Linked DNA regions of Canis lupus familiaris. The main gene of each other region encodes a partner of the protein of the gene in region 4 in a complex. Links are inferred from orthologs where the notes say so. Each region holds a gene or a part of one and is shown on either strand. Other genes may lie near its edges. The genes, in order: TIMM22, TIMM10, AGK and TIMM10B.

Region 1 (7,438 bases), on a different chromosome or scaffold from region 4:
GCAGGTGGTACCAGAGTGCTGAAACCAAGTGTACCATTTGAGAAGCAATCAAAATCTCTTCTCTGGTTCCCCAATAAGTCTCATGATTAAAATGATTAAGCAACTTCTAACAGACACATGAAAACATGCTCAATATCACTCATCACCAGGGAAATGCAAATCAAAACTAAATGAGCTAACGCCTCACATCTCTCAGAATGGCTAAAATCAACACAATAAACAACAGGTGTTGGGTGAGGATATGGAGAAAGGGGAACCCCTTTCCACTGCTGGTGAGAATGCAAACTGATGCAGCCACTCTGGAAATCAGTATGAAGGTTCCTCAGAAAGTTAAAAATAGAACTCTTGGGGTGCCTGGCTGGCTCAGTCAGTGGAGCATGTGTCTCTTGAGCTCAGGGTTAGGAGTTCGAGCCCCACGTTGGGTATAGAGAGTAGTTAAAAATAAAATCTTAAAAGAAAAAAAAGCTCTACTGTACAATCCAGCAGACTGCTAGGTATTTACCCAAAGAATACAAATACTACTTCAAAGGGAAACATGCATCCCGATATTTATAGCAGCATTATCTACAATAGCCAAATTATGAAAACAGGACAAGTGTCCATCTATTGACAAATGGGTAAAGATGTGATGTTTACACACACACACACACACACACACACACACTTGAATATTACTCAGCTATAAAAAGAATTTTGCCATTTGCAATGTCATGGATGGAGCTAGGGAGTATTATGCTAAGCAAAATAAGTCAGAGAAAAACAAATACCATATGATTTCACTCATGTGGAATTTAAGAAACAAAAACAAATAGGCAAAGGGAAAAAAAGAGAGAAAAGGGCAAGCCAAGAAACAAACTCAACTACAGAGAACAAACCGATGGTGACCAGAAGGGGAGGGGGTGGGGGATGGGTGAAATAGGTGATAGGGATTAAGGAGCGCACTTGTGATGAGCACCAGGTGTTGTATGGAAGTGTGGAATCAGACACCTGGATGGCTCAGCAGTTGGGCGTCTGCCTTTGGCTCAGGATGTGATCCCGCAGTCCCGGGATATCGGGATCAAGTTCCACATCGGGCTCCCTGCATGGAGCTTGCTTCTCCCTCTGCCTCTGTGTGTCTCTCATGAATAAATAAATAAAACCTTTAAAAAAAAAAGGAAGTGAAAAAAAATAAAAATAAAAAAATAAAAAAAATTTTAAAAAGGAAGTGTGGAAATCACTATATTGTATGCCTGAAACTAATATTACACTGTATGTTAACTAGAATTTTACAAAATTTAAAAAATAAATCATTAACCAAATTCTAGCCTACAAAGAAACGTAAAAAACAATGCAAGCCCAAGTAAATGCAATAAATGCACAAAAAGTTTACATTCAGAACTATTCAATGAAAATTCAATCTAGCAAGTATCAGACATTTCTGCTCTGCTTTCTAATTAATAGCGCTCTTTAGAAGTCATAAGATGGTACAAGTCTTTCTCAGAAGGCAGAGACACTTACAGATTCTACCAAACACTCGGTGCAAGAAAACATGGCGCCCACAATGGCAAAATTTTTGGCGTAAGACATTCCTCTCTGTCCCATGTCTTTCAGAACTTCTTTTGCTGTCGGTGTACGGTAAGGATCCTTAGGGTCAAAGCCCACATTGGTATCAATGCCAGCAGTGAACACTCCAAAGGCACCTCCCAAGACAAATCCTAAAAAGACACACAGATGAAGACTTCTTTGGCATGTTTTCTGGGTTACTGTAATGAGGTCATACTCGAATTGCACATTTGGCTGGCTACCAGCAAAGAGGACACCCCCTACCTACCGCCCCTACTCCATCTTACCAAACTCTCCAGTTATCTGGTTGCACATCACACAAGCCGTAAACTATCTTGTTGACATCTTCTTCTCAGTCTTTGATTTCTTCCTCTTTTCATTTTCTAACATTCCTGAAGATTCGATCTTTAACCTTCTGTTCTGTCTGTACTCATACATTCAACTCTCAACTTTGCAAATCACTCCCTTGACAATGGTGACATTCATAACTATCATTTAGTGAGTACCATGCTCCAATCACTCTGATGCTTTATAGTCACAGCTCCTTTTATTCTTCACAATAGTCTCGTGAGGTAGATACTATTACCCTTTCCATTCTACAGCTGAATCGGCTGAGGCTCAGGGAGGTTAAGTAACTTTCCTAAGGTCACAAAGCTACCAAATAGCAACCATACACTGCTGTCCCCATCTTTCTGAGCCTGCTAGACACTTCTATATAGATGTCCTCTCATCACCCCAAGGTCAAAATATGTTTAATGAAGTCATGGGCACCTTCCCTCCAGACTTTCTTCCTTCTTTCCAGGCACTCCAACTCCAAAGCTGAAGGGCATTTCTGACCGGTTCTTTGCTTTCCCCTACAACCCTATGTTCACAGTTATCATCCTAGTCTAAGGCCTGTATCACTCCCACTCTAGAGCATTACAAAGACTTATTCATCATTTTAACAAATATGTAAGTGATGTAGTAGGGTCGGACATAATGATGAACAAACACCAAGGCCAGGCTGCACTGCACCTCAGTTTTGCAAATTCCCTATGCCGTCTTCCCACCCACACTTTCTTTCTTCACCACACTCTATGCTGGGTCATCATGTGCATCAATTACTGCTCTAATGCCTAAAGACAAAAAAGCCCAAAGCCCCAACTCCACCTCCAACTTGAAAGGGCATTTCTCCTCCTCTTTACCCCCATTCTCTCAATCCTTCAAGATACAGCTGCAGTCTCACCTCTTGTAGCCTTCCCCAAACCATAAAAATACTGCTCTCTTTCTACTACATACCTGCACTCCCACTGTATTTGTTTCTTGTCTTTCATTCTCATGAGATTTCAACTCATCTGCAAATGTGGCCAACCTCTTTACAGGAGGGACACCATACACTCTCAAATCCTTTTTCAAAAGGTCTAAAAAAAAAAAAAAAGTGTGTGTGGGGGGGGAGTCTTTCCCCCTTGTTTCCCACCATCTAATCACACTGTCCACACTGGCCTTTGTTTTCTTTTTCTTTTTAAGATTTTATTTATTTATTTGAGAGCGAGCTAGGGAGAGAGCACTAGCTGGGGGAGGGGCCGAGGGAGAGGGAGAGGGAGAGAGCAGACTCCCCGCTGAGCAGGGAGCCCCAAGGCGGGGTGGATCCCAGGTCCCTGGAGTCATGACCCGACCTGATGGCAGATGCTTAACCTGCTGAACCACAGAGGTACCCCTGTCCTTTGTTTTTCAAACAGGAAGCCAGCTCCTACCGGACCTTGGCAGTTGCTGCTCCCCCATGTTCCACTTTCCTGCCTGGCTCCTTCCCAACATTCTTGTTTCTATATATATATATATATATATATATATATATATATATATATATATATATATATATATATATATTAAAATGTGAGCTTCATGAGAACCTGGCTCTGGTCTCTAACCCTGTCCCTCCACCCCTGAGCACGTGACGGTTACTTTTAACAACTCGTTGAAAGAATGCTTATTTAGGGACGCCTGGGTGGCTTAGCAGTTGAGCGTCTGCCTTTAGCTCAGGGCATGATCCCAGAGTTCCGGGATCGAGTCCCACATCGGGCTCCCTGCATGGAGCCTGCTTCTCCCTCTGCCTCTTTCTCTGTGTCTCTCATGAATAAATAAATAAAATCTTAAAAAAAAAAATAAAGAATGCTTATTTAAAAGCGAACCAACGAATGAAGGCAGGCATTTTATAACCTTTAGGCCCCAACCCATATGGTACCGATTCTCTGACCCAATTTCCAGGGGCGAAAAAGAACCTCAGGGCCTAGAGAGGGGTCACCCGAGCTCACGGATCCAGGCAGGGGTGCAGTCAGGAGCGAGGTCCACAGGCTCCTCGCCTCCCAGGCCGTGGTCTTCTTGGCAGAGGACCCCGCTGCCGTGCAAGCCCTCAGCCTCCCACCGGGCCCCCTAGTCTTGCCTCACCTCCCACGCAGGCCAGCGCCGCCTTGAAGGCGCAGCTTTCCATCGCCTTCTCGATCATCTTCTGTTCCTCACTCTTGATCGGGCTCGGGATCCCGCCCAGACTACTGGGCTCCAGCAGCCGGGGCTGACGCTTGTCGCCCACCAGGTACTGCAGAAGAAGGCTGTACTGCAGCGGGGCTTCGGCGGAACCCGCTGCCTCCGGCGCGGAGGCCCCCGTACTGGGGGTAGTCGCCATGACTGCAGATGCTCGAGAAACCCTGGCGTTCTTCTTCCCACAGCAGATTCCGCAAGCTTCACGTTAGGGCGCGCCTAGCCCCCGTGACGCAACGGCAGATTCGCCACAACGAGCAAGTGCAAGAAACGACGCCAGCGAAGTCCGTTCGTGCCTCCGGCGAAAGAGATACCATGTTCCCCAAAAGCCCCTTGTCAATACCGAGTCAGGCTTGTGCAGCATCCAAACGGCCCTAATGAACAAGATTCAGAGTCACCAGAAAGCGCCCTCTTCGTCAGGGCGGCAGCGCGGGGGGTACCGCGATCTGTATAGCCCAGGCATCTCCCAGGAGGCTCTGCGCGGGCGCGCGCCTCGGGGCCTCGTCTGGAGCTCCCGACTGCGGGGAGGGGGCGGAGGAGCGCCCCCGCGAGGCTGCAGCGCGCCGGAGCCTCGCCAGGGGGCGCACGCACCGCGCCGCTGCCCTTCCAGCCTACTCCTTCCTCGCAGGGGTGGTGAGAGGTAAATGGTGGAAAGTGCTTTGTGAATAAACGTAAAAGCCTGGTATAAGTGTATGCAATATATGTTTTATTTGACAATTAAACCCTTGCGGAGAGAGAAGGGGCCCAACAAATGAGTGAACTAATGAGCGAAGCTAGCTAAGTGTAAGAAAAGGAGGTGGAGGGATCCCTGGGTGGTGCAGCGGTTTAGCGCCTGCCTTTGGCCCAGGGCGTGATCCTGGAGACCCGGGATCGAATCCCATGTCGGGCTCCCGGTGCATGGAGCCTGCTTCTCCCTCTGCCTGTGTCTCTGCCTCTCTCTCTCTCTCTCTCTCTCTCTCTCTCTCTGACTATCATAAATAAATAAAAAAAAAATTAAAAAAAAGAAAAGGAGGTGGAGAGGGCAAGGCCGGGGCCCCTACCCACGCTCCAGCCAGTTATTGTTGTCGGTGGAATTGGTGATGTGGGACTAGCATTGCCCTGGAAAGCCAGGTTTAGATTATGTGAAACCAATTAAAGTGCTCACCAGCTTGCAGACTCAGAACCTGAAGGTAAACTGTAAGGTAGTACTATGCATGAATCCAGAAAAACTTTTGCACTAGTTTTTATGTTACTAAAATAGATTCCACACTATTGCATTGGTCCAGACTAGCAATGTATTTGAGTGTTTTAGCTAAGAGAAACCTTAATGGAAACAGGTGGTGAGCATAGCCAGTTGAGGTGGGCAGAGATATTTCTTTGGTACCCGAAGTTCTCAGTGCATCCCAGCACAGCATATGCTTTGATGTGGAAAACAAAGGCAGAAGAAAAATTGCTAAATTTTCTTACTCCCTACAGCCCAGTGACAAGACCTTGAAACAGGCAGAGTGACATTCCTCTAGGGACTCAATGCCTCCATGTTGATACTTTGTTAAGGGCAGAAGGGAATCTTAGGATCCTGTAAGTCTACTTTAACATATAGAAATTCCTTTAGAAATTTTCTTTATCTCTAACCCCCCAAGATACATGTTGGAGATCATCCCCCAAGCATATGACCTAACAATATTCATCTGAAGGGGCCCATGACATTATTGTATCAGACAGTAGTAAATGGCCTTTTCCCAACAATAGCTACCCCATCAAGGTCCTGGAAACCCTGCTTCCAAAATTCCTTAGAGACTTAAGGTGTCTCTAAGCCCTCCCAACTTAAAGTATATGAACAGGCCGCTCCTCATGACCCCAGAGCAGCTCTTTCTGCCCACAGGTCCTGTCCCCGTGCTTTCATAAAATCACCTTTTTGCACCAAAGACATTTCAAGAATTCTTTCTCGACCCTTGGCTTTGAACCCTAATGTCTTTTCCTACCTCATGCTTCACCCTGATTCTGTTCCCACCAAGCCATTGAGTGGGCTGGTCTGAGGGTCCCCAGGGATTTCCCAGTTGTTGAATCTCTTATTTTAAGATTTATTTATTTACTTGAGAGAGAGAGCGCGCGAGAACACAGAGGCAGAGAGAGAGGGAGAAGCAGACTCCTTGCTGAGCAAGGAGTCCAATGCAGGGCTCGATCTCAGGACCCTGGGATCATGACCTGAGCCGAAGGCAGAAACTTAAACGACTGAGCCACCAGGAGTCCCCTAGTTGTTGAATCTAATTCAGGCCTGATTTTACTAGACTTCTGTACTGCATTTGACACTGTTGTCTCCCTTCTTGTCTGAAGTTTCTTCATATTTTTAGTGGAGCCCCTCTTTCCTAGTTCTGCTACAGCCTCTCCAGATGCTCCATCTCCTTTGCACGCACCTCTGCGTGGCCTTTTCTTGTTGGTCCTCTCAGGGCTTCATCCTTTACCGTCTTCCTCCGCAGCTCATTCTACCTGAGCAACTCATCTTCGTGGCTTCTACTCCACCTCAAATTGCATTAATGACTCTCAAATCTAAAAAAAAAAAAAAAAAAAAAAATGACTCTCAAATCTTCATCTTCAGCTTAGACCCTTCTCATAAACACAGGAACCAGACACTTCCCATAAGCACCTCTAACTCAACATGCCCTCGCAACCACCCTTTCCTTCCAGATGAATGAAGGGCCCAGAGCTCTGATTTATGCTGAAGTCTTTTTTTCTTTTTTCAGATTTTGTTTATTCATTTGATAGAGAGCAAAAGTAGCAGAGCAAGAGGCAGAGGGAGAGGAAGAAGCAGGCTCCCCACTGAGCAGAGAGCTTGATAAGGGGCTCGATCCCAGGACCCTGGAATCATGACCTGAGCCAAAGGCAGATGCTTAATCAACTGAGCCACTCAGATGCCCCATGCCAAGATCTTCAGAGCTACAGTTGGATCTGAGAGAACCTGGGACAGCCACCCCCCACCCACCCTTGGCAAGTCCCAGGTAAGGTGGCCTTGGAAAACAAGGAATGGTCTAAATAATTAACCCATGGAACTACTTAGAGAGTAATAATCAATCCCCAAATGAAGGGTCTTCATTAGAGTTCAGGTGAGGTCCAGGTCAGCATGTGAAGAAATTCCATGTGGCCAAGGTACATGAATGAGGGAGCCTTTTATGGAACATCCTTGGCCTGGATCATAGATGGAGAGAGAACAATTACAGACACTGATCTGGTATCTCTCTCCACTCACCCAATTTCCTTCCATAGGTAGTTTTCTGATGGAAAACTTGAACCTCTCCAAGCATATTCTGAAAGTGAAAAGTGGTTTCCCATGTCTGTTTCCCAGGGCTGAACCTCTGCCAATAGTCTGGGGACTCTATCTGGCCCTGGCATCATTGGGAATCCAGCA
Region 2 (7,157 bases), on a different chromosome or scaffold from region 4:
CATTTTTTAAAGAAGATTTTATTTATTTATTTATTTATTTGAGGGAGGGAGAGAGAGAGAGAGAGAGAGAGAGAGAGAAAATGTGCACAAGCTGTGGGGAGAGGGAGAGGGAGAAGCAGACTCCCAAGCAGAGCTTGGTCCCAGGACCCCAGGATCATGACCTGAGCCCAGGGCAGATGCTTAACTGACTGAGCCATCCAATTGCCCCACAAGGGGCCATTTTTGAGAAATTGGGAGAAATTGTATATGTGCATAAGATTATATTAAGAAATTACTATAATTTTGAAGGCATGAAAAAAATGGCATTGTGGAAAAGGACTTTATCTGTTAGAGGTAAAAACAGATGAAAATATGGCTAAATGTTAACTGTTAAAGTCTGGTGATGGGTATGTGGAAATTCAGTATACTGTGCTCTCCACTTTTCTGTATGTTTTTAATTTGCTCTAATAAAAGTCTAAAAATTAAAAGAATGAGAACAATGATTTCTTTTTATTGAGCATCTGCCATGGACTAGGGGCTTTTAGTGCATTTTTTATTTTTCATTTTTGTAAGGATTGTTTTAACTTTTTATTTTGACATAATTGTAGGATTACAGGAAGTTGCATAAATAGTACAGAGACAGTACTGAAGGTTAAATCTTACATAACTATATGCTATATCAAAGCCAAGATATTGACACTGGAACAATAGTGTATATAGTTCTATGACATCTTATCTCACATGTTTAGATTCATATAAACAGGGACCCCGGGGTGGCTCAGCAGTTTAGCACCTGCCTTCCGCCCAGGGCATGATCCTGGAGTCCCAGGATCGAGTCCACGTTGGGCTCCTTGCATGGAGCCTGCTTCTCCCTCTGCCTGTATCTCTGCCTCTCTCTCTTTCTCTGTGTCTCTCTCATGAGTAAATAAATGAAATCTTAAAAAAAAAAGAAAGATTCATATAAATATCTCCACAATCTGGGTGGATAACCATCCCATTGCCACAAAGATCTCCTTTGTTCTACCCCTTTATAGGCACACCTTCCTCCCTCTTCTCACCTGTATGGCTCTAACCCTTGGTAACCATTAATCTCTTTGTCTCTATAATTTTGTCATTTTGAGAATATTATTTAAATGGAATTATATAGTATGCTTTCGTAACACCTAATAAAAATCCTTTTTTTTTTCTAATAAAAATCCTATCGAGGAAACAGATTACACTTGTAAGAACTCGTTTTCCCATGCGATTTCTTTTTTCTTTTAAAGATTTCATTTATTTATTCACGAGAGGCAAGGTCATAGGCAGAGGGAGAAGCAGGCTCCTTGCAAGGAGTCCAACGTGGGACTCCATTCCAGGACCCTGGGATCATGCCCTGAGCTGAAGGCAAGCTCAACCGCTGAGCCACCCAGGTGTCCCTCCCATGCAATTATATTCCATAATATGTTGACTATATTATTAAAAGCAAAAACCACTACAACATGTGTCCACTAAAACATACATACAATAGTATTCACAGCAACATTGTCCTAACAGCCCCAAGCTGGAAACAACCCAAAAATCTATCAACAGTGAATGGATAAATTACCTGTGGCTCATTCATACAATCTAACATTAGACAGCAATAAAAAAGAATGAATAATGGTTACACACAACAATGTGGATGAAATCTTAGACGCTACATTGAGCTAAAGAAGTCAGGCACAAACCAGCAAATAGTGTATGACTCCATTTACCTGAAGTTCAAGAATAGGCAATAGAAGTCAGAATACTGGTTAACTTTGGGAGAGCCGGTATTGACTGGTCAGGAACATAAGATAACTTTTAAGGGTGTTGGAAATACATTGTATTTTGATCTGAGTGGTGCTTATGAGCATAAATATATATTTAAAAATTAAGCTTAAATTTTATGTATTTTAGTCATTTTCCTGTATAGATGTCATACCTTAATTTTATTGAAAAAAAATTTTTTTTAAGTAACCTCTACACCCAAGGTGGGGCTCAAATTCAGGAGGATGGCTGGGTGGGGGGTGGGGGGAGGTTTGGAATCAAGAGTTGAATACTCTACTGACTGAGCCAGCTAGGGGCCCCTGTTATACCTTAAATTTTTTTTAAAGTGTGTGTCTATGAATTGAGAAATATTTATTTTATTTATTTTTAGTTTTTAACTTTTTTATTTTTAAAGATTTTATTTATTTATTCATGAGAGACACAGAGAGAGGGGGGCAGAAAGAGGAAAGGCAGGGTCCATGCAAGGAGCCTGATGCGGGACTCCATCCCGGAATCTGGGATCAGGCCCTGAGCCAAAGGCAGATGCTCAACCACTGGGCCACCCAGGCGCCCCTATTTTATTATTTTTTTAATATTTTATTTATTTATTCATGAGAGACACACAGAGAGAAAGGCTCCATGCAGGGAGCCCTATGTGGGACTCCATCCGAGGTCTCCAGGATCACACCCTGGGCTGAAGGCGCCGCTAAACCGCTGAGCCACTGGGGCAGACCTATACCTTACTTTTTTTTTCTATACCTTAATTTTAAAAAAGATTTTATCTATTTGAGAGAGAACGCACGCGCTCAAATGTGCACGTGGGGAGAGGCAGAGGAGGGAGAGGGCGAGAATCTCAAGCCCATTCTGCACTGAGCTGGGGGCCAGGGCAGGGCTCTGTCTCATGACCCTGAACCGACCGAGCCACCCAGGCACCTCTAGCTTAATTTTCAAGGATTGGGGCACCGGGTTTGCGAAAGAGGAGTCCTTGGAGGAGACATGAGGGCTGAATTTAGGATCCTGACTTTCTTGGGCAGTGAGGGAAGCATACAGTGACCAGCCATACAGCGTCCGGCCCACCTCCTCCAATGGGCAGCGGACGCTTTGCATCTTGTACACTTTGTTTACTGGGAAATCCCTTGAGAAACAAAAGGATTGGGGGCGGGTTTCTGTGGTGTAGGGGTTCAGATGGAGCAACGCACGCACGGGGTCTGGAGAGAGCAGCTCACAGCCCCTTCCTCCTCCTCGCTCTGATGCACTAGGTTAGCCCCGGCGGCAGCCAACGTTGCTCTTGTTCATCTCTCTGGGCCGGGGCGTCTGGAAGTTGCGCGGACCCGGCTCGTCCTCCTGCGAGCCCGGAGACAGCTTAGCACCTGCGGGCCGCTGCGCTCCCTCCGTCCGGGGAGCTCTGGCTCGCAACCTCGGCTGCACCAAGAAACCGCCCGAGGTCAACTGAAACATTTACTGAAGTCTGCGTCCTGCTCCCAGAGGTTCTGATTTGCTTGGTATGAAGCGAGGCATGGGCATCGGGGCACTGGGAGCGGCCCGGGCGACCGTAACGAGCAGCACAGACACTACGGCCTTGGAGGGCGTCCTTCCTTCTCCGCGCCGCGCCGGGGTCTGTGACCCGCCGTCGAGCCTCGGGGGCTGCGGCCAAGCTTCGCGGAGCCCCGCCCTCCGGCGCCCGCCTACAGACAGTCGCACTGTGACCTCTCCGCCGAAACCCTGGGGACGGCACCGCCAGGCTGCAGGCGCTCTGCACTGCGCCCAAGCCTCTATGGTATTTTGGCGTCCCCTCTAGCCCTTGCAAGTCGCCTTCGGGCACGGCCGGCGGCTCCTCTCTATGGTAGCCGATTTCCCCGCGCCGCCTCGTAGGGGCTTCACTCCGGAAGCGAGTCCGATCAAAGGGGAGGCGGGACTTCCCTCCCGGAAGTGACCCACGTGCTTCCGCCTTAGCCTACCTGGGCGTGCGGCGGCTGTCTAGCGTTTGCGCGAAGTTGAGGACACCGCGGGCACAGTGACTGGCCCCAGGCCGTGGTAAGTGACCGCTCGCTTCAAGGTGACCCCGATGCACCTCGCCGCCACGTCAGAGGTGCAGCCCCTGGGCCGGGACCCGTGGACCTTTAGCACCGCGTGTGATCGAATTCCCAGGGCCCTGGAGGTTCAGGCCCCGCGGTTCAGTGTTCCTTTCCGGTCCCGAGATCTTTTCCTGGGTAGAGTGGCCACGAGGGGCTGGGGCGCCAGGGCTCGATTTCCAGCCCCTCCATTGACGTGCTGTGTTCCCCTTCCGGGCCTCAGTTTCCATATCTGTGAGATGGGATAGTTGAGCCCACTGAGGTCAGTGACCCCTGCCCGCCCGGTGTCCTATGATTGTTCCGCATCCTCTACGTCCCCCTGGGATGGGAAACGGAACGGGAGGGCTCGAAGCTGACGGTGATGTCCGCTCCCAGGACTAGGAGGCCAGGAGATCTTTCCCACGGCGCAGCGCTGAGATGGATCCGCTCAGGGCCCAGCAGCTGGCTGCCGAGCTGGAGGTGGAGATGATGGCCGATATGTACAACAGGTGAGAGCCGACAGCGCGCTCCTTGTCTTTGACAGTGATCCTAGGTCACCCTTCCTCAGGGCACCTGTCGGAGGGTGCGCACCCCCACCTACGCTCCTCGTGGCTGAGGGCCAATGCAGACGCGGTACGGGTCGCTAGAAGGAGTTGGACATCTAGGTTGGAATGCACTTGGCAAGCGAGAGAAGCCCCAGTCCAAGCTCTGGTTGGCTTTCAGGAACGGTTGAGCGTTTGCCTTTGTGGCAAACAGCACGCAGCCCGCTTGGTGGTTTACATTTCTTAAACTCTTACTCCACCTCGGGCACATGCTGAGCATTCTACGCGCCTTCATCTTTTGTGATCTTCAAAATGATCCACCGGGTCGGTCTTAGTTGTCCCATTCTAAGGTGAAGACATGGAGGCTTCTAGAGGTTAAATAACATTCACAGGGCTCACAGTTGGTCAGTAGCAATGTCAGGACCAGGACCTCGGTCTGACTCCAAACGAGTGCCCACAACCATTTGGCAGATGCGGGAACAAATCATAACTGCGCCAATCACCACTAGTGTGGCCGTGGGCAAGTCACTTGGACTGCTTAGTGGTTTTCCTGTCTATAAAATGGAGGTGGGGCACATGATGGTGCAGTTGGTTGAGCATCTGACTCTTGATTTCATTGCAGGTCGTGATCTCAGGGTCATGGGATTGAGCCTCACATTGGGCTCTGCACTCAGCAGGGAGCCTGCTTGACATTCTCCCTCTCCCTCTCCCCTGTTTGCCCACACACATGCCCGCGCAAGTGCTCGCTCTCTCTTTCTCAAATACATAATACTAGTTCTTTTTAAATAAATGAATAAATATTGCTTCTAATCCTTTTGGCTAAGATCAAGTGTAAAAAAATAAATAAATAAAATGGAGATAATAATGGTGCCTACCTCAAGGAGACATTATAGATGTTAAATGTAGAAATGTGTGACAAGGGGTGCCTGGGTGGCTTAGTCGGTTAAGTGTCTGCCTTCAGCTCAGGTTATGGTCCTGGGATCGAGCCCCACGTCCAGCTCCCTGCTCAGTGGGATGTCTGCTTCTCCATTTCCCTCTGCCCCTCTCGTTGCTTGTGCTCACTCTCTCTCTCTTAAATAAATAAATAAAATCTTTTTTTTTTAAAGATGTATTTATTTATTCATGAGAGACACAGAGAAAGAGACAGAGACACAGGCAGAGGGAGAAGCAGGCTCCTCGCAGGGAGCGTGATGACTCAATTTCAGATCCCCGGATCACAACCTGAGCCAAAGGCAGATGCCCAACCACTGAGCCACCCAGGCGTCCCATAGATAAATAAATTCTTAAAAAAAAGAAATGTATATAACAAGCTCTTATTGGGTTTGTATCATGCCCAGTACAAAGTAAGCAGTCCACATGTTTTCTGGTTTTATTGGCTTCAGCTCCATGGTATTTTCTCTTGATGGCTTATCTTGAAGGCTGTATATTAGAATACTTCCAAATATTTAAATAATTTAAAAATGCAGGCCATGAGGTCCTGTGGGTTCATATCCCAGCTTTACAGGATCCTGAGGCTCTCCATGCCTGCATTTCCTTATCTGTAAAATGGGGATAAAGATTGTGCCTGCCTCACAGGGTCATTGTAAGGACTGCATAACCAGCCATGTCAAGCACTTAGCATGATGCCTGGAACATACCCAGTAGTCAACTAATGGCTCCTGTTTAAATAAACTTGGGCTCAGATCAGGTGAGCACTCTCAAGGACCTTCTCAGTTAAGATGCGAACTGAGGATTTACACTGCCTTCCTGGGATGTGAAATTAGCAGGGCAGGCATGATGGAGAGTTCCTGGTTGCCTCAAGATGCTGCTGAGCTGACCTTGCCCTTCCTTCCCCTCCAGAATGACCAGTGCCTGCCACAGGAAGTGCGTGCCTCCCCACTACAAGGAAGCAGAACTGTCCAAGGGCGAGTCCGTGTGCCTGGACCGCTGTGTCTCCAAGTACCTGGACATCCATGAGCGGATGGGCAAAAAGTTGACAGAGTTGTCTATGCAGGATGAAGAGCTGATGAAGAGAGTGCAGCAGAGCTCTGGGCCCGTGTGAGGCCCCAGACAGTATACACCCCAAGGTGTGCCCTGCCCCTTCCCACTCGCCTAATAAAAGTGCCCCTATTGGGTGTCATCTGTGAAGACTCCCGGGCCTCGGCTCCCTCTGGAGAGCCTCCAGGAACCCAGAGTATGGTAGAGTTACTCTCCCCGGTTGGAGAAGGGGTATTTGTCACACTGTGATGTGACTGTGTATGTACGTGTATGTGTGTGTGTATATATTAAAACAGATTTGTTGACACCTACCACACGGAAAGCAGTCTGCCTGGCATTTGGGAGCAGGGGCAGCAGACACAGCCTCCACCAGCAGAGGGAGTCTAACGTGTTTAAAAGCACAGACTAGTGGGAAGTTTTAGGTTGTACTCCAGGTCAGCCACTTGCTGAACATGTCACTTCACTGTGCTTTAATTTTCTCATCTGTGAAAATGAGGATAATCATCTGGTGGTTGTGAAGATTAATGGTTTAATACGTTTATGGCATTTAGAATGCTAACTGGGACAAAGGAAGTGCTCAGTAAATACTAGCTGTGTACATGTGTTTAACAATTTAAAATTTAAGTGGAGTCAGGTGGGCAGTTTTCCAGATAATAAAGGAATATTTAGAGGAGCAAGTAACAGGAGATGGGATTTGAAAAGGAAGTAGCCAAGCCAGTCCCTGGATTCTAAATGGCAACATGAAACATACGAAGGGTTCAGCTTTGTGTGTGATGTGAGTGATCAGGAAGTAAGTGAAAACCACTGCCATTCACTGTTCACCTGAATCAGGGACTGCACT
Region 3 (7,359 bases), on a different chromosome or scaffold from region 4:
CCGACAGCCTCGGTTGACCCTGTGAGGAGCTGTGGGGCTCTCAGAGGTGATTTGCTTTAGCCCAAATGACCAAGCGTTTGAACTCCCTTCTAGATCAGTCACTGGATGTGGGCCACCTCCAGAAGGGTGTGACATTGGTGAAGATGGCTCACTGCATTGGGTGCTGTCCCCAAGGGGGCTGACAGCTGAAGGTCTGACCACCCCCAGCAGCTGGGACAACAGGTGGTGCATCACCATGTCCAACACTCAGCGCTGGTAAGGATGTCTGAAAAGAGCATTTGAAAAGTTTCTGTGTTTTAGCGTCATTTGTGTCCTTACACATTTATAAACTACATGTTTAAGATTTGGCTTTCACTATAATCCCACATAGAGTGGGAGTGAGGGGGTGGGAGATTAAGTTCTACAAAGCATGGACAATCCTTAGTTAACTTGTTTATCACTGTGTCCCTCTGGAAATGATTCAAGGGGACAGTTGTTAGCTTAACCAAAGGGCCAACAATAGCCTTACTACAGGGAAAATATTAATGGCATGAGTCATAAAACTAAATGGGATACTAGGGCAACACATTAAAATGTCAGTAAATACGTGTCATGTAATGGGTACAGTTAACTCCTTGAAGATGAATTTATGACTAATTTATGACTTAGTCCTATTTTGATGCAGATATTTCCCATTTGCAGGTGACATATCTGAGTCATAGTTCCCCCGTTTCTATCTATACAAGCATGCGATTTAAGGAGAGAACACAAGGTCTCTTTCAGAGACCTGCCATGCCCCTCCCCGCCTTTTGCACATGTAATTCTGAAGTTTTTATTCTGTGGAGATGTCTCATCTTTTCTAGTTTCATAGTCCAGGTAGAAACTTGGGAGTTGTTTCCAGATTTTTCTCCTGGGAACACAACAGGCTGACATCAACGTCCCCATTCACCACAGTGAATTAAAGGCTTCATGATAAAGAAAGAATGTAAGCTAATGGATATTCCCATGGCCCCCCTGAGCACTTTTCAATGAGGGATGGTCCTGAGTGAGGCCTGCTATGCTATGCAGCTCTGTGTTCTCCCTCCCATGGAGGGGCTGCCTCTCTCCTGGGGTGTCGTTTTCTCCCAGGTGGATTGACCTGCTGCCCTTCTTCACAGGCCTTCTGGGCACCTGCTTTGTGATGCCTGATGTTTCCAACTGTCCATGGCTCCAACTCAAATAAAATCAAGTTCTCCTCTCCTAAGTTTTAAGAGAAAACTTTTGGGCAGCCTGGGCGGCTCAGTGGTTTAGCGCCTGCCTTCAGCCCAGGGCCTGATCCTGGAGACCCGGGATGGAGTCCACGTCAGGCCCCCTGCATGGAGCCTGCTTCCCCCTCTGCCTGTGTCTGTGTCTCTGCCTCTCTCTCTCATGAATAAATAAATAAAATAAAATAAAATAAAAAGAGAGAGAGAGAGAGAAAATTTCTCTTTAGATTTTCTGGTTGGGAAGTTATGGTACGTTCGTTCATCCGAAGAGAACGTTTCTCATTTTTGGAAACCACTGTTTTGCGGAAGCCCTAAAGCTTAGTCTGCCCATTGGGCCATCCGGCGCGAAGTCTTCAGATTTTTCTAGCCTTACAGGGATGCAGTTCGGCAACTCATTTTCAAGAGCACATGTCCTAAATAGCTGGGAGAAGAGAAGTGGCAAGAACTGTCTCCCATACCTTTAGTATCACAACATTTTATAGCTAGAAGATGTGTTTTACGATGATCTTCTTAGCGCCTACTTTACAGACAGAGGAGAGAGGGCTGCAAGTTCCCATGACCTAGGGTGGCCCAGTGAGGATTGGAACCTGGTAGGGTAGGGTGGGCCCTACCGCACTATACCCGCTGGATGTTGCGGTGCTTCCTAAGACAAGCATGTAGGGGAAGCCAGGGAGGACGCACGTTTACCTGGAGCAAACGGGGAAGGCAGGAACCACGCGGGGTTCCACGCGGCAGCGCCCCGCACTCATCAAAGTTGTTTGGAGGAATGATGGGGAAGGAGGGAGGTAGGAAGGAGGTAGGAGGGCAGCCTGGACGGGCTGGCGTGGTGCCAAGGCTAACGCGGGGGTGCGGGACTCGAACTGCCGTCGGCCCCGGCTCCTCCGCGCGGCCGGAGAGCGATGCTGGCAAGTACGGCAGGTGCCGTCACCCCCGGGCTCCCCCCGCACGCGCCCCGGGCCGCTCGGTGTCCCGTGCAGGCCGCCCTCCGCCCTCCGCCGCCCGGGGCGCACCTGCCGGCGCGGCACCTGCTCCCCCTCCCATCAGCCCCCCCCCCCCCCCCCCCCGGCGGGGCCAACGCGGGCGCCCGCTGTCCGACAGCTCGGGGCGGGGGGCGGGGGGCGGGTTGTGTTTTGTTCTGTCGTTTCCTCCTGCACGTGCCCGGCTCCGTGGTTTTCCGACACCGCCGGGTCCCGAGACACCGCCCTCCCCGAAACTCCGCGGGCGCCGGGCGGGGCGGCGGGCGGCGGGCGCCGGAGAAGGGGCGGCCCCCGGCGGGCTCCCGCGCAGCACGGTCCGCGGGCGGGCGGGCGGGCGGGCGCAGCGGAACCCGAGGGCGGCGGCGCCGCGGTTTCCCTTAAAGGCGCGGGGGAAGCGTGAGGGAGCACACAGGAAGCCGGGGCGGCGAGCGGGAGCGGCCGGGTGAGCGGCGCGGGGCCGGGGCCGGGGCCGGGGCGAGCGGCGGGGCCCGCGGGAGGCCTCTGGGGGGTGGGGCGGAGCGGCGGGGGCGCCCCCGGGGCCGGAGGATGGGGGCGGGGCGGCGGGGGGCCTCCCCCGGGGCCGGGGGTGCGGCCGGGGCTGCCTCAGAGCGGGGGGCGGGGCGGAGCGGAGCGGCGGGAGCCGCCCCTGGGGTCGGGGTGGGGGCGGGGCCGGGGTCCCGGGGGTCCCCCTGGGAGTCAGCTGGCCTGGGAGCTGGGCCCCGAGCCGTCGCTGCCCTGGGCGACTCCCCCGCCCCCTGTCCCCTCTGGGCCTTTCCGGGCGGTTTGGTGGATGGGTCGGTTCATTCATTCCTGGTGCTTTACCTGGTTGTGTTTGCTGGAGGCGCCTGCCCACCAGAAATTGGGAGGGTTTTTTTTTTTTTTTAAATATTTTGTTTATTTATTCATGAGAGGCAGAGAGGCAGAGACCCAGGCAGAGGGCGAAGCAGGCTCCACGCAGGGAGCCCGACGCGGGACTCGATCCCGGGTCCCCAGGGTCACGCCCTGGGCCGAAGGCACGTGCTCGACCCCTGAGCCACCCGGAGGCCCCAGACGCGAGATGTTCATTTGAACGCATCACATTCAGATCTTACCCGAGATTGAGGAGTAAGAATACTGCTGGGTACTTAGAGGAAGTATGCACCGCTGGTTAATAGAGTGCACATTGCCGTGACAACTTAGATACAGATGAGATCTTTTTATCCAGATCACTTAATCAGAGCAGGTGTTGTATCCTCATTTTACTATCGAGTAACGTGGGTTCACAGCCCCAGCAGGTGTGATTTTTGCAGCCAGCTGAGTTGATCAGAGCAGATGCCGTCTTCCCATTTTACGAACAGGGAAAGGGAGGTGGAGGCCGAATGACTTACCCAGGTTCTCACCGCCTGGAAGTGAGAGAGCTGCCCTGGCATCTAGGCCTCAGGATCCTCGCACCGCTGCTCATTCCGCTATACTCGCTTGCCTGCGAAAAAAGTGTTTCCACATTTTTGTGAATGAAGCACTGTTCTGTAACAAAAAAGGAGTTCCATTGGCTCGTGGATGGCCTGTAAACAGACTTTTTTTTTTTTTTATCAACTCTCAGGTTGTTCTCTAACAGTATTGGCATACCCCCCGCCCCCCCCCCCATCCTTGCCTCCGGTGGTTTTTGGACCTCCTCCACACGGACAAGGCCCAGATCTCTATCTCCCACCCAATTTCTCCTAGCTTCAAACTGCTAAATCCAGACTGGTCATTTGGATAGCCACTTGGGTATCCTGCAGGCATCTCAAATCCACCATCTTCTCAACTGCACACACTACCCTTCTCCACAAACCCGCGGTCCAAATCTAATGATTGAAATCCTCGCCCAAGTGCAAACCTGGCTGGTTTCTCCTCTCACCTCCTACAAGTGAGGAAGTGAGGTTTATAGTCAAGGAACAGGGTAGTGATCAGTGGATAGAAAATTAAGTTTGATGAAGAGTGGACAGTCATGGAGGAATATGCTAGGTTGAGTATGAGGAAAACGGGAAACCTAGCAAGGCCTGTAAGGATTCTTCTTGGCATCCCCGTGTCTCCAGAGATGATGATCCCTTCTGGGTTTAAGGAGGGCAACCTCATAAGTGAGGGTTTTAGGACTTATTTCAGGAAAGAAGGGTCAGGTGGGGAGGTCAGAGTGACCTTTCATTGGTCACTCTGACCATTGTCACTCATTGACAATGAGTCAATGATTGGTGGTCACTCATTGTCTCAGACTCCTTTAGCTTAAAATATTCAATATGCAAAAAAAATTAAATTAAAAAAATAAAATATTCAGTATGCTAAGTTGCCATATTTTGGGGTGGTGTGTCCTGAACCCCATGACATTCAGCAGTTAGCACTGAATGGGTTGTGGGAGCTAGATCTTATTTTAGGAATGGGGATACAGCAGTGACCAGAACAAAGTCCTTACTCTTGTGGAGTTTACAGTCCTAGTGGGATAAGCTAATAAATGAGCAAATAAGGATCATCAAATGGTAAAAGCTGTGAAGAAAACAAACAGAATAAGGATATATATTGTCACTTGGTTTTTTAATAAAGTTGTGTGAACTTCCTTTGCTTACAGCAGTGCATGAGTGTGTCTATCTCATTTTGTCATCAGTGAATATGATCATTTAAAAAATTTTGGTTTTAGAGGTGAACAGTGCTAATTCTTTGTGATTTGCATGTCTTTGATTACCTAGAAAGTTGAACATTTTCACACAGTTGTATTCGCCCTTTGAATTTCCTGTGCGTGTTCTCCGCTTATTTTCCTATTTTGGGGCTAGTGTCTTCCTCTATTTTGAATAAGCCTTCTATGGTACTTATTTATTGTTGAGGCCTTTGTATATAGTAGACAAATACTCTTAAAACAGTGGTAGAGTGACTAGGGAGGGAGAAAATGCAGGAAGCCTGGAATTCCCTTCTCTGCTCTTCTCCGCTTGCTTCTGATACGGTGAGACACAGGTGAGCAGAGAGGCAAGAAGTGAGTTTAGGTAGAAAGAAGTGAAGAAAGAAGAAAGGCAGGTGGGCAGTGAGAAGATGAAGTTGATGAGCCTACAAGGGAGCAGACGGGAAGAGGCCGGAGGTGTGGTAAGGAGGAACAGACGTGAGGGAAGGAGAGCAGAGAGGATGGGCGGATGGAAGGCACTCGGCGCTCTACACGGTGAGCTTAGGTACTTACCTTTTTCTTTTTCTGCCTCTGTGAACCTAGCAAATCTTTAGGAGAAGATGACGGTGTTCTTTAAAACACTTAGAAATCACTGGAAGAAAACGACAGCTGGGATCTGCCTGCTGACATGGGGAGGCCATTGGCTGTATGGAAAACACTGGTAAATACATAATATTCCCCACCCCGCCTTCACCTCCAACACCAAAACCACCTAAAGGGGCCTGAGGTCAAATCTTGCTCGACTGAGCTCTTTCTTCTCTGTAAAACATCATGGCGTAAAAGATAAATATATGTTAAAAGCACAAAGACAAAGGCTTCTTGTTGTAACCAGTCCTGGAAAATTGTACTAGCAGAGCCATCAACTCTGGATGATAGTAGTGAGATCGGAAGCTGAAGAAAGGGAGAGAAGTCAACTCCCAAGTTTTGAGTAGAAGGGTTTGAACTCCCCTGTCTCCTTGGGATTTTATAAAATTCCTTCAGTTTCTTAACTATGATCTGTTATCACTGTTGTGTTAGACCCTGACTGATTCTGCTAGCTCCAGCCCCTGTGACTTTCCACATTTATCCCATTAGCCTGGGTGAATTTAAATGAGACTAAGACATTCACACCTTTTGTTTGAATACGGAATTCAGCAGTCCTGGGTTTTATTAGTCTCCAGGCCTGAGAGCAGAAGAAAGTGCCCGAGCTCCCCTCTGGTTTAACATGGTAATAAGATTTAAAGAAAATTTTTGTATAAAAAATTATATAAATAATAGAGCCAATTAAATTGTCGTCTTTTGGGGATTAAGGGTTACAGCTTAAGTATTTAAGGACACTGCAGTCCAGGTGCCTTAAATGACTGCTTTGTTAAGCAGAAGACAGCTTTTGTAAAGGTAGTCAGTAGAAAGGAAATTCATATTGATATTTTTGTAAACTGTCTCCATTTGCCTTTGCCTCAGTCAGGATAATCTTAGGATGCAACATGGTGTCTAGTTTTTTGTAGCTGTAGATTAAAGGTAACATATCCCTCCTTTCCCCCTAAGTATTCTCAAGGCTCAGTGCTTGAATTCCATTAGCTGGCATGTAAAGAACAGACCTGAGAAGCTTAAAATTTGTATTATATTAAAAAAAAAAAGATGGAGGAAATGTTTTGACAAATGCAATATGAAACATATAACGTGTGCCCTTTGTCCCTCTTCTAACTACCCTAGAGTCCTTACACCTCCTGCCACGATGGGAACTAGGATTCCCTCTGCAGGAACACCCAGTCCAGGCCCCCGCTAATGCAAGCAGGAGGACCCTCCCACACCCTGAGAGTCAGTGCTGTTTCTGCTACTAGGCGAAGATTTGAGGAAATAACCATGTACCCTGTTCAGGATGTCTCGTGCATACCCTCATAATTTCTTGCCAGTGTCGTCTTGAGACTTGAAAAACAGCCCACTCGTTCTGAATTAGATCTGAGAGATCTTGAACAGAAATGCAGTAAGCCTGGAGGCCTCATTTTGCTCTCTCTCCACCCTTAATGTTCAAGGGTGCATTCACAATGCAAACTCTTATTGTCCTGTTGCTCTTCCTTTTCTCAAACTTTTCTCCTGTATTCTGTAGTACCGTATGGCCTTTTTGTTTTAAAATCATAGTGGAAAACACATAACATAAAATTTGTCACCTTAGCCATTTTTAAGTGTACAGCCAGTATGTTAAGCGTATTCACGTTGTTGTGCAGCAGAGCTCTAGGATTTTTTCATCTTACAAAACTGAAACTCTATACCCATTAAACATAACTCCCCATTTCCTCTCCCCGCCCCCAGCCACCACCATTCTACTTTTTGTTTCTGTTGGTTTCACTACGTTGGGTACCTCGGATAAGTGGCATCATACAGTATTTTGTCTTCTGTGACTGGCTTATTTCATTTAGCATGATCTTAAAGATCATTAATGGTGTAGCACATGGCAGGATTTCCTTCTTTTTAAAGGCTGAATACTAATCTGATATATGCATGTATATAACCACATTTT
Region 4 (6,873 bases):
AAGAGCCATCAAAACTGGAACAACCAAGGACTGCTCCAGCAAGGCTCTCTTAGCCAGAAAGTTATTGGGGCCACCCCGGGGATGGCTGGGGTAGGAGTATGGGAGTGGGTTCTCAGATAAGTTCACAGGACGAGAACAGGGAAAGCTAGTGCAGCAGGCAAGGGGCGGGGAGGGGGGCTCTGATTAGGCCGAGCACCGATGCAGAGAAGGGTTACTTGTGAGGCATCTAGTGTGCCGCCTCCCCCACCCCTCCAACTTCTGAACCTCTGTACAAACCCTTAGGCTGCCTCCACAGGTGAGTGCTGCTGGGGGTAGGGCTGGGCCTACCCTGGAGGGGTTCTCCCTCTGGGCTGCAGGAGGGAGGGAGGGAGGCTGAGGGCTGACTGCCTGGGAGGGCCCGGGCCCAGTCCCCCCACCCTCTTTGGCCTGACCAAGGCACCTGAAGCTCTGGGGACTTCTGGCTGAGGTCAGCAAAGGCGTCACCTAGTGCATGCTGGGTCTGCAGCAGGCTGTAGAGGTGGGCTGTCAGTGCCCGGCCCAGCTGCAGGACACTCTCATACTTGCGCTTCGTCTCACGCAGCAACTCAATCTGCAGCTCTAGCTCCAGGTCCACAGTCCGGGAGCCTCGGCCAAATCGCTCTGATAACAGCTGCTTTGTGCACTGATTGGGAAGTGGGGGAATAGGTCAGAGACCCTAGCACCCTGCCCCCCCAACAGGTATCTACCCTAGCATCCCAAGGCTCCTCGTCTCAGACAAGGATGGGAGAGTGGAATCTGGAAGATGGGGAAAAGGTACCCAGGGGAAGTCTGGGGAAGGGGAAAGGGAAAGGTGCTTAAATCCCACCTTATATGTGTTGATGCCCCATTTCTTGACGATGTCAAACTTTTCTCCAGCGATGCCCCGAGCCACCTCATCTCCCGGGCCAGCAGGAGTGGTACTGTGAGATGGATGGCGGCCAGACCCTAAAGAACCAAGTTCTTTGACACCAGCCTCTCTGATATAACCAGACATCTCTGTGGCTCCACCCATACTTCCCACCGACCCCACTATGAAATGACTTTCCACCGACTTCCCACCATGAAAATGACTTCTCTGAAGTAGCAGAAACTAGAAATTCTCCTACTCACTAGGAAGAACTCATACCTTGTGCCCTGAAACCCAAATCCCAATATATATCTGGCCTCCTCCTGAGATGGTGATGGGGGCTGGAGTGGGGGGAGGGAGGGAGTTGCTGATGTACAGGGGCAGAGAAAACAGAAGAAAATATGCTGAGTATTGGGTGGCAGGTCAAGGATGGTGGGTTCCTGACAATAGGAAATCTCATTGACGTTCTCATGTGGAATCCTAGTCAGTGTGAAATTCAGGGCTATTTGCTTCTCTAAACTTGAGAATCTGAAGCAAAACTTTGAGAAGCTTCAGAGTTCCAAATAAGTCTCAAGCTCCAAAGCAGGAGAACTTCTGCAAAACAGTTCGTAATGTGATTCAGGTGGTGGCAGCAAAGAAAGGACAAATGGACACATCTCAGGGCTAAATGGCAAGCGGGAGCAGTTGGACAGCCCTAGGCTCTAGCCTTGGGCTGAGTAGAGTCCATTGGGCTTGTACTAGCAAGAGTTCCCAAAATCTCCAGACATAGTTCAAGCTATCTTAGGCATATCCTATACTCCCCAGAACCATTCCACTCCCTCTGTCCATTCAAGCTTCCTGTCCTGTTCTGATCATTCATACCTGTGGGGATGAGTCCATCACCAGAGCCCCCATAGCCACCAGACACAATGCTGGTTTCATTGAGGTTGGGTCCTGACACCATCACCTGCTGGAGGTCCTATAGGCCAGAGAAGAGGGGGGCTTCAGGAACATTGGGGCAGCTGAAGCATTTGGGGGGTGAGAACAAGCTTGGATTGAAGCATCACAGAGAGAGCACACAAGGGAAGTCTGCATAGAATCAGAATGAAGATATGTAAAGATTGGAGGGAGTTAGATAAGTTAGGGGAAAACTCCTGGAATGGGGTGAGAGCCCAGGGCTTATGATTTTGGACTCCTAAATTGAAACAATATGGAGAAGAATCAAACAGAAGCACCTGCTCCAGCCCATCATCCTCAGGAAGCTGCCCGGCTTCACCGTTCCCGTGGATGGGGATCTCCATTGTGGCTGCCTTCCCTAGGATCCCGTCCGTCATGGCTAGGGAAGGGATTGGAGTCAAAGTCTCCACCCCAGCGCCCTGCAAAGCCCAACACAGACAGTTCTGGAAACTAGCCAGTACTCCCGAAAGAAAAGTCTCCCCCACCATTTCAGAGATTTTAGAGGTTGTCCCAAGACTTGAGTATCCTGGGGTTCGGCCACCACTCCTTTCTTCTCGTAGATATGTATTTCTCCCCTCCAGGGTGTGTATCTTTCCACATGCACACCCAGGTCCCCAGTATCTTCTCACGGACCCCCAACCCCACCAGGACTCAGGTGATCACTCATGCGTTCAACCATTCAACAGACTACTATTTGAGGTCACAGCAGTGGCCAAGGGAGAGAAAGTCTGTGCTGTTTTGGAACTTACCCCCATGCAGCTGTTTCCTCCCATCAGATTAACCCCTTTCCAGGGCTCAGGAGCCTACTCCTCCCGCTCTGGTATGTTCTCCATTGCTTGGCCTCTCACACTCCCTTAGGGTTGCTTCCCCTTTCCTTCAGGTGGTCTCTCCCTCCTCCATCCCATGCACCCCCTCCTCCTGCAGCCCTCCCCCTGCAGGCCCTAGTTGAATCAGTTGGTGTCCGTTCTTGGCCTCTGGGAAAAGCCACATTTTCCCAGCACATAGTGATCCCTTCCAAAGTCAGTTATGTCCCCCAGGTGTGTTAGTCCCCGCCCCCCCCCCACCCCACACCTGGGCATCAGGTGTGTCCTCATCCTTCCCCAGGGCTCTGTAGCATCTTTCCCTCGGGGCAGGCTCGTGCATTCAACTTCCCCTTGCCCAAGTATGTCCTTCTCACCTCGGGCCGGGCCGCTCTTCCCCTCAGGGCGCCAGGCCCGGGCCGCGCGGGGACCTCGGGCTCCAGTTCCCGTCGCGATCCTAGCAGCAGGTCAGGGACTCGGCGGAAGTGACGTCCCCTCCCGGGCAGAAGAAGCCGGCCACGTCGCAGACTATAAGGGCGGAGATGACGTTAAAGCCAGGGGCGGGGCGATCCTTGAGGCAACCCCTCAGTCCCCGGGGAGCCAGGAGAGGTCACTTCCGGGGCGTTACCAAGAGGCTGTGCGGAAGTGACGTGCGTGCGCCGGTGGCGCGATGGAGCCGCAGCAGCAGCAGCAGCAGCAGCAGCAGCTGAGGAACGTGAGTGGGTGCTAAGTCGCGACGGGGCCATCAGTTCAGCTGGCATCTTCGTCCGTTTGGCTGGAGGGCGGAGGGTTGGGAACGTCGCGCTCTGGCGCGCCGTCCTGGGAAACCTCGAGGGCGCGGCCTCGAGGTGCCCCCTTATCGCTGGGCTCTTTGTCCCCTTCTCTCCTAGTTGCGGGACTTCCTGTTGGTCTACAATCGGATGACGGAACTCTGCTTCCAGCGCTGCGTGCCCAGCTTGCACCACCGAGCTCTGGACGCTGAAGAGGTTAGGTGGGGTTCGCCGTAGACTGTCCCCAACCTCCACCGCCCCTACCTCTGGCCCGGGCCTTTCCATGACCCTTGCCCCTGGGCCAGGGATGGGACGGACACCAGTGGACACCAATGCTTCACCCTGTCTTCCTTCCAGGAGGCCTGTCTGCACAGCTGTGCTGGGAAGCTGATCCATTCCAACCACCGCCTCATGGCCGCTTACGTGCAGCTCATGCCGGCTCTGGTACAGCGCCGCATCGCAGACTACGAGGCTGCCTCAGCTGGGCCAGGTGTTGCTGCAGAACAGCCCGGAACCTCACCATCAGGCAGCTAGGAAGGGAGGCGCTGGATGGACCCTCAAACTGAAGGAGCCAGTGGACCTTGGGCTGGATGCAGCCCATATATAGAGTGAGGGGTTGTCTGACAGCTGGGTAGTATTGCTCCTTTTCTTGGAGCCAATAAACCCACTTTTGCACTGTTTGATTTATGTTCTGGGCACGGAAGCTTTGCCCGCTTTATTGGCCCCATCCTTTATCCTGTCAGCGCATATCTGTTGGCTTCAGCCCTGGCAGTGGAGAAATTGGCTTCTATGTGTAGAAGGAAAACCTCAACATTTCCTGGCACCTGGTTAAAACAAGGCCTGTGGGTACAATTTTTTCTTTTGTAAAGAGTTTATTTATTCACGAGACACACAGAGAGCGGCAGAGACATAGGCAGAGGGAGAAGCAGAGGCTCCCTGTGGGGAGCCCGATGCCGGACTTGATCCCAGAACCCCAGGATCCTACCCTGAGCCAAAAGCAGACGCTCAATGGCTGAGCCACCCAGGTGCATCTTACTTAATTCTTTCTTTTTTTTAAAGATTTTGTTTATTTATTTATGTGAGAGAGAGAGAGAGAATGAGCAGGGGGAGGGGCAGAGAGAGAAGCAGACTCCGGGCCTAGCAGGGAGCCAGATGCGGGGCTTGATCCCAGGGCCCTGGGATTATGACTTGAGCCAAAGACAGACACTTAACCAACTGCACCCAGGCACCCCTGTGGTACGATTTTAATGTTAGTAATAGCAATAGGAAGTTGGTTCCTGCCCAGATGGCAGAGAAAATAAGAGCTCTTCTTGTTGTCCTTCACTTAAATCTGACTTAATGGTTTATTTGTGAGCTGGGTGTGCATTCATTTATAACTCTTTTCATGGGCTCTAAAGAATTCTCCTAAATTTAGGGGAAGGAGGAGATACCTAAGAATAACAGATCAAGAAATCACAGGGTTTTTGTATGCAGTGCCTTCTGGAAAGTCAGTAGCCCCGTAACTGAAATGAAACCTGTAAGATTTCGGGGTGTTCTGGAACTTCAGCCATTTTCCCAAGTTGTTATTTTCTTATTATTTTCTGTCTTCCCCAGGATGAGCAGTAAAGCTTTTACACAAAGAAGGTCTGTGTGCTTGTCTTCAGGAGCAGTCAGAAAGGGGGAACTTGGAGGACCATATTCTACAATATAGCCAGACCCAAGGAACAAAAGCTCAGGGGAGAAATAGATGATGATGGTTATGGGGAAAAAGATAAAACAAATCCTTGGGACCTCTTTATCGTTACCTCCAAGTCTATAATCTAATTCCAGCTCTTCTGTCCTCTACCCATCATTGTTTTCATTGTCCCGGTTTTGTTATTTCCATGCTGAGCCTCTCTATCTTTCTCTCATTTATTGCCCTCATAAAATTTACTTGTGCCACCATTCTAAATGGCCTATCACCCCATCACCGCATTTTCTTGCCTCCCTTGTGTCCTTTTTGTATCATTCCAGCTGTTTTACCTTTACTGTTCTTCTGTTCAGACTGCTAGACAAAAACACAGCTGTGTAATGAGTGGCACTAACCATTCAAGGTCTCCAGCGTCAACCAACAAGCAACCCTTTGTGGCTTCCTGGTATATTTTTGTCTCCTAATCACCAAGGCAGTTAGTTTACACCTTCACTGCTCTTATCCCCCATTTCACGTTCAGCTATCCTCCATCAGGGGACCATGTTTCATTTTTTACGGAGGAAATGGAAGCTCTTAGACATTGGCTCCCATAAAACTCCTTACAACTACCCACAAAGCAGACATTTTTTCCCCTATGTGGATCAGGAAGTTGAAATTCTCTAGTAGCAGACTTTATTAAGATACAGATTAAGATATTAATCTGTATCTTAATATTAAGATATTAATATCTTTTTAAGATACAGATACAGATCTGGCTTTAAAATCCATGCACTTCTGGGCAGCCCCAGGGGCTCAGTGGTTTAGTGCCACCTTCAGTCCAGGGCGTGATCCTGGAGACTGAGGATCGAGTCCTGTGTCAGGCTCCCTGCGTGGAGCCTGCTTCTCCCTCTGCCTGTGTCTCTGCCTCTCTCTCTCTTTGTCTCTCATGAATAAATAAATAAATAAATAAGTAAATAAATAAATAAATAATCTTTTTTAAAAAAATAAAATCCATGTACTTTTTATTACACCAGGCTGCCTCTCAAAATACCATTGAGCCATCTGATTTGTATGGGTTCCAGTGCTGGTATATGTCCTGCTTTATCTCAGCCTTTTTTTTTTTTTTTTTTTAGATTTTATTTATTCATGAGAGATGTAGAGACAGAAGAGAAGCAGGCTCCCTAGGCTGCTGCAGGACTCGATCCCAGGACCCTGGGGTCACACCCTGAGCTGAAGGCAAATGCTCAACCACTGAGTCACCCAGGCATCCCTATTTTAATCTATAGCAAAACTACAAGTAAGAGATATTATTCCCCACTTAATGGATGAGGAAGCAAGAATCCAGAATGTATCAGAGCCCCATGTTTACGTAGTTACCTCTTGAGAAAAGTTGCTCCAAATGGCTTTTCATCTCTTTAGTTCCTATATCTTCAACAGATGGTTGCTAGGAATGTACAAGCTGCTGACCAGGAAATTCCCTACTGAATGGGTTTGTGTCTACTCATTAAAATTTTCTCCTTGGAACGTAAAACTTCAGCTAAAGCAGCTTGTGAACTTAACCAGTTCCAAGACAGGAATGGAGACCTTGAATACTGTGCTGCTGGTGGGAGGACTCTTCCGTGGACATTTGCGTGTATCCTTGCAGTAAATTTCCATTGCGAATCATCTGTTTCCATGTCACATAATTACTACTTGCTGGAGCAGGGCTGAGAAAGATCTGTCTTGACTCTAGAGGCTATGTTCTTTGAATTTCCAGAATTTATATTTGTTTGCTCATGTGCACCCAGCCTGTCCCTAGGGATGAAAAAACAAGTATCCATCAATTAATCCCTTAAGTTTTTAACCTCTTCTTCC

What was found.
Region 1: TIMM10B (region 4) and TIMM22 share a complex: the UniProt entries of both Homo sapiens proteins name them as parts of the TIM22 complex. The link is inferred for Canis lupus familiaris from reciprocal best matches to the Homo sapiens genes TIMM10B and TIMM22.
Region 2: the proteins of TIMM10B (region 4) and TIMM10 are in contact, whole or in part, in a cryo-EM structure (PDB 7CGP), measured with the Homo sapiens proteins. The link is inferred for Canis lupus familiaris from reciprocal best matches to the Homo sapiens genes TIMM10B and TIMM10. Residues at the interface, in NP_036324.1 of Homo sapiens: Gln7, Leu11, Leu14, Arg15, Phe17, Leu18, Leu19, Tyr21, Asn22, Arg23, Met24, Thr25, Glu26, Cys28, Phe29, Val33, Pro34, Ser35, Leu36, His37, His38, Arg39, Leu41, Glu46, Leu49, His50, Ala53, Gly54, Ile57, His61; in NP_036588.1 of Homo sapiens: Ala6, Leu9, Leu13, Glu16, Met17, Asp20, Met21, Arg24, Ala28, Lys32, Cys50, Asp52, Arg53, Cys54, Ser56, Lys57, Tyr58, Asp60, Ile61, His62, Glu63, Arg64, Met65, Gly66, Lys68, Leu69, Leu72, Asp76.
Region 3: TIMM10B (region 4) and AGK share a complex: the UniProt entries of both Homo sapiens proteins name them as parts of the TIM22 complex. The link is inferred for Canis lupus familiaris from reciprocal best matches to the Homo sapiens genes TIMM10B and AGK.

Annotation. Positions count from the first base shown.
Region 1 is NC_049230.1:44,795,003-44,802,440, forward strand, and holds the start of TIMM22 (mitochondrial import inner membrane translocase subunit Tim22), read right to left. Parts: upstream 4,524-7,438; 5' UTR 4,202-4,523; coding exon 3,967-4,201; intron 1,695-3,966; coding exon 1,498-1,694; intron 1-1,497. UniProt on the Homo sapiens protein: Essential core component of the TIM22 complex, a complex that mediates the import and insertion of multi-pass transmembrane proteins into the mitochondrial inner membrane. In the TIM22 complex, it constitutes the voltage-activated and signal-gated channel.
Region 2 is NC_049239.1:39,103,639-39,110,795, forward strand, and holds TIMM10 (mitochondrial import inner membrane translocase subunit Tim10), read left to right. Parts: upstream 1-3,279; 5' UTR 3,280-3,780; intron 3,781-4,193; 5' UTR 4,194-4,235; coding exon 4,236-4,306; intron 4,307-6,178; coding exon 6,179-6,380; 3' UTR 6,381-6,632; downstream 6,633-7,157.
Region 3 is NC_049237.1:7,417,583-7,424,941, reverse strand, and holds the start of AGK (acylglycerol kinase, mitochondrial), read left to right. Parts: upstream 1-2,525; 5' UTR 2,526-2,642; intron 2,643-2,882; exon of another isoform or gene 2,883-3,304; intron 3,305-3,830; exon of another isoform or gene 3,831-5,284; intron 5,285-5,405; 5' UTR 5,406-5,422; coding exon 5,423-5,523; intron 5,524-7,359. UniProt on the Homo sapiens protein: Lipid kinase that can phosphorylate both monoacylglycerol and diacylglycerol to form lysophosphatidic acid (LPA) and phosphatidic acid (PA), respectively. Does not phosphorylate sphingosine. Phosphorylates ceramide.
Region 4 is NC_049242.1:30,303,200-30,310,072, forward strand, and holds TIMM10B (mitochondrial import inner membrane translocase subunit Tim10 B), read left to right. Parts: upstream 1-3,176; 5' UTR 3,177-3,271; coding exon 3,272-3,316; intron 3,317-3,491; coding exon 3,492-3,587; intron 3,588-3,728; coding exon 3,729-3,905; 3' UTR 3,906-4,993; downstream 4,994-6,873. Other genes in the region: ARFIP2 (arfaptin-2), read right to left, coding at 440-661, 845-963, 1,727-1,823, 2,080-2,178. UniProt on the Homo sapiens protein: Component of the TIM22 complex, a complex that mediates the import and insertion of multi-pass transmembrane proteins into the mitochondrial inner membrane.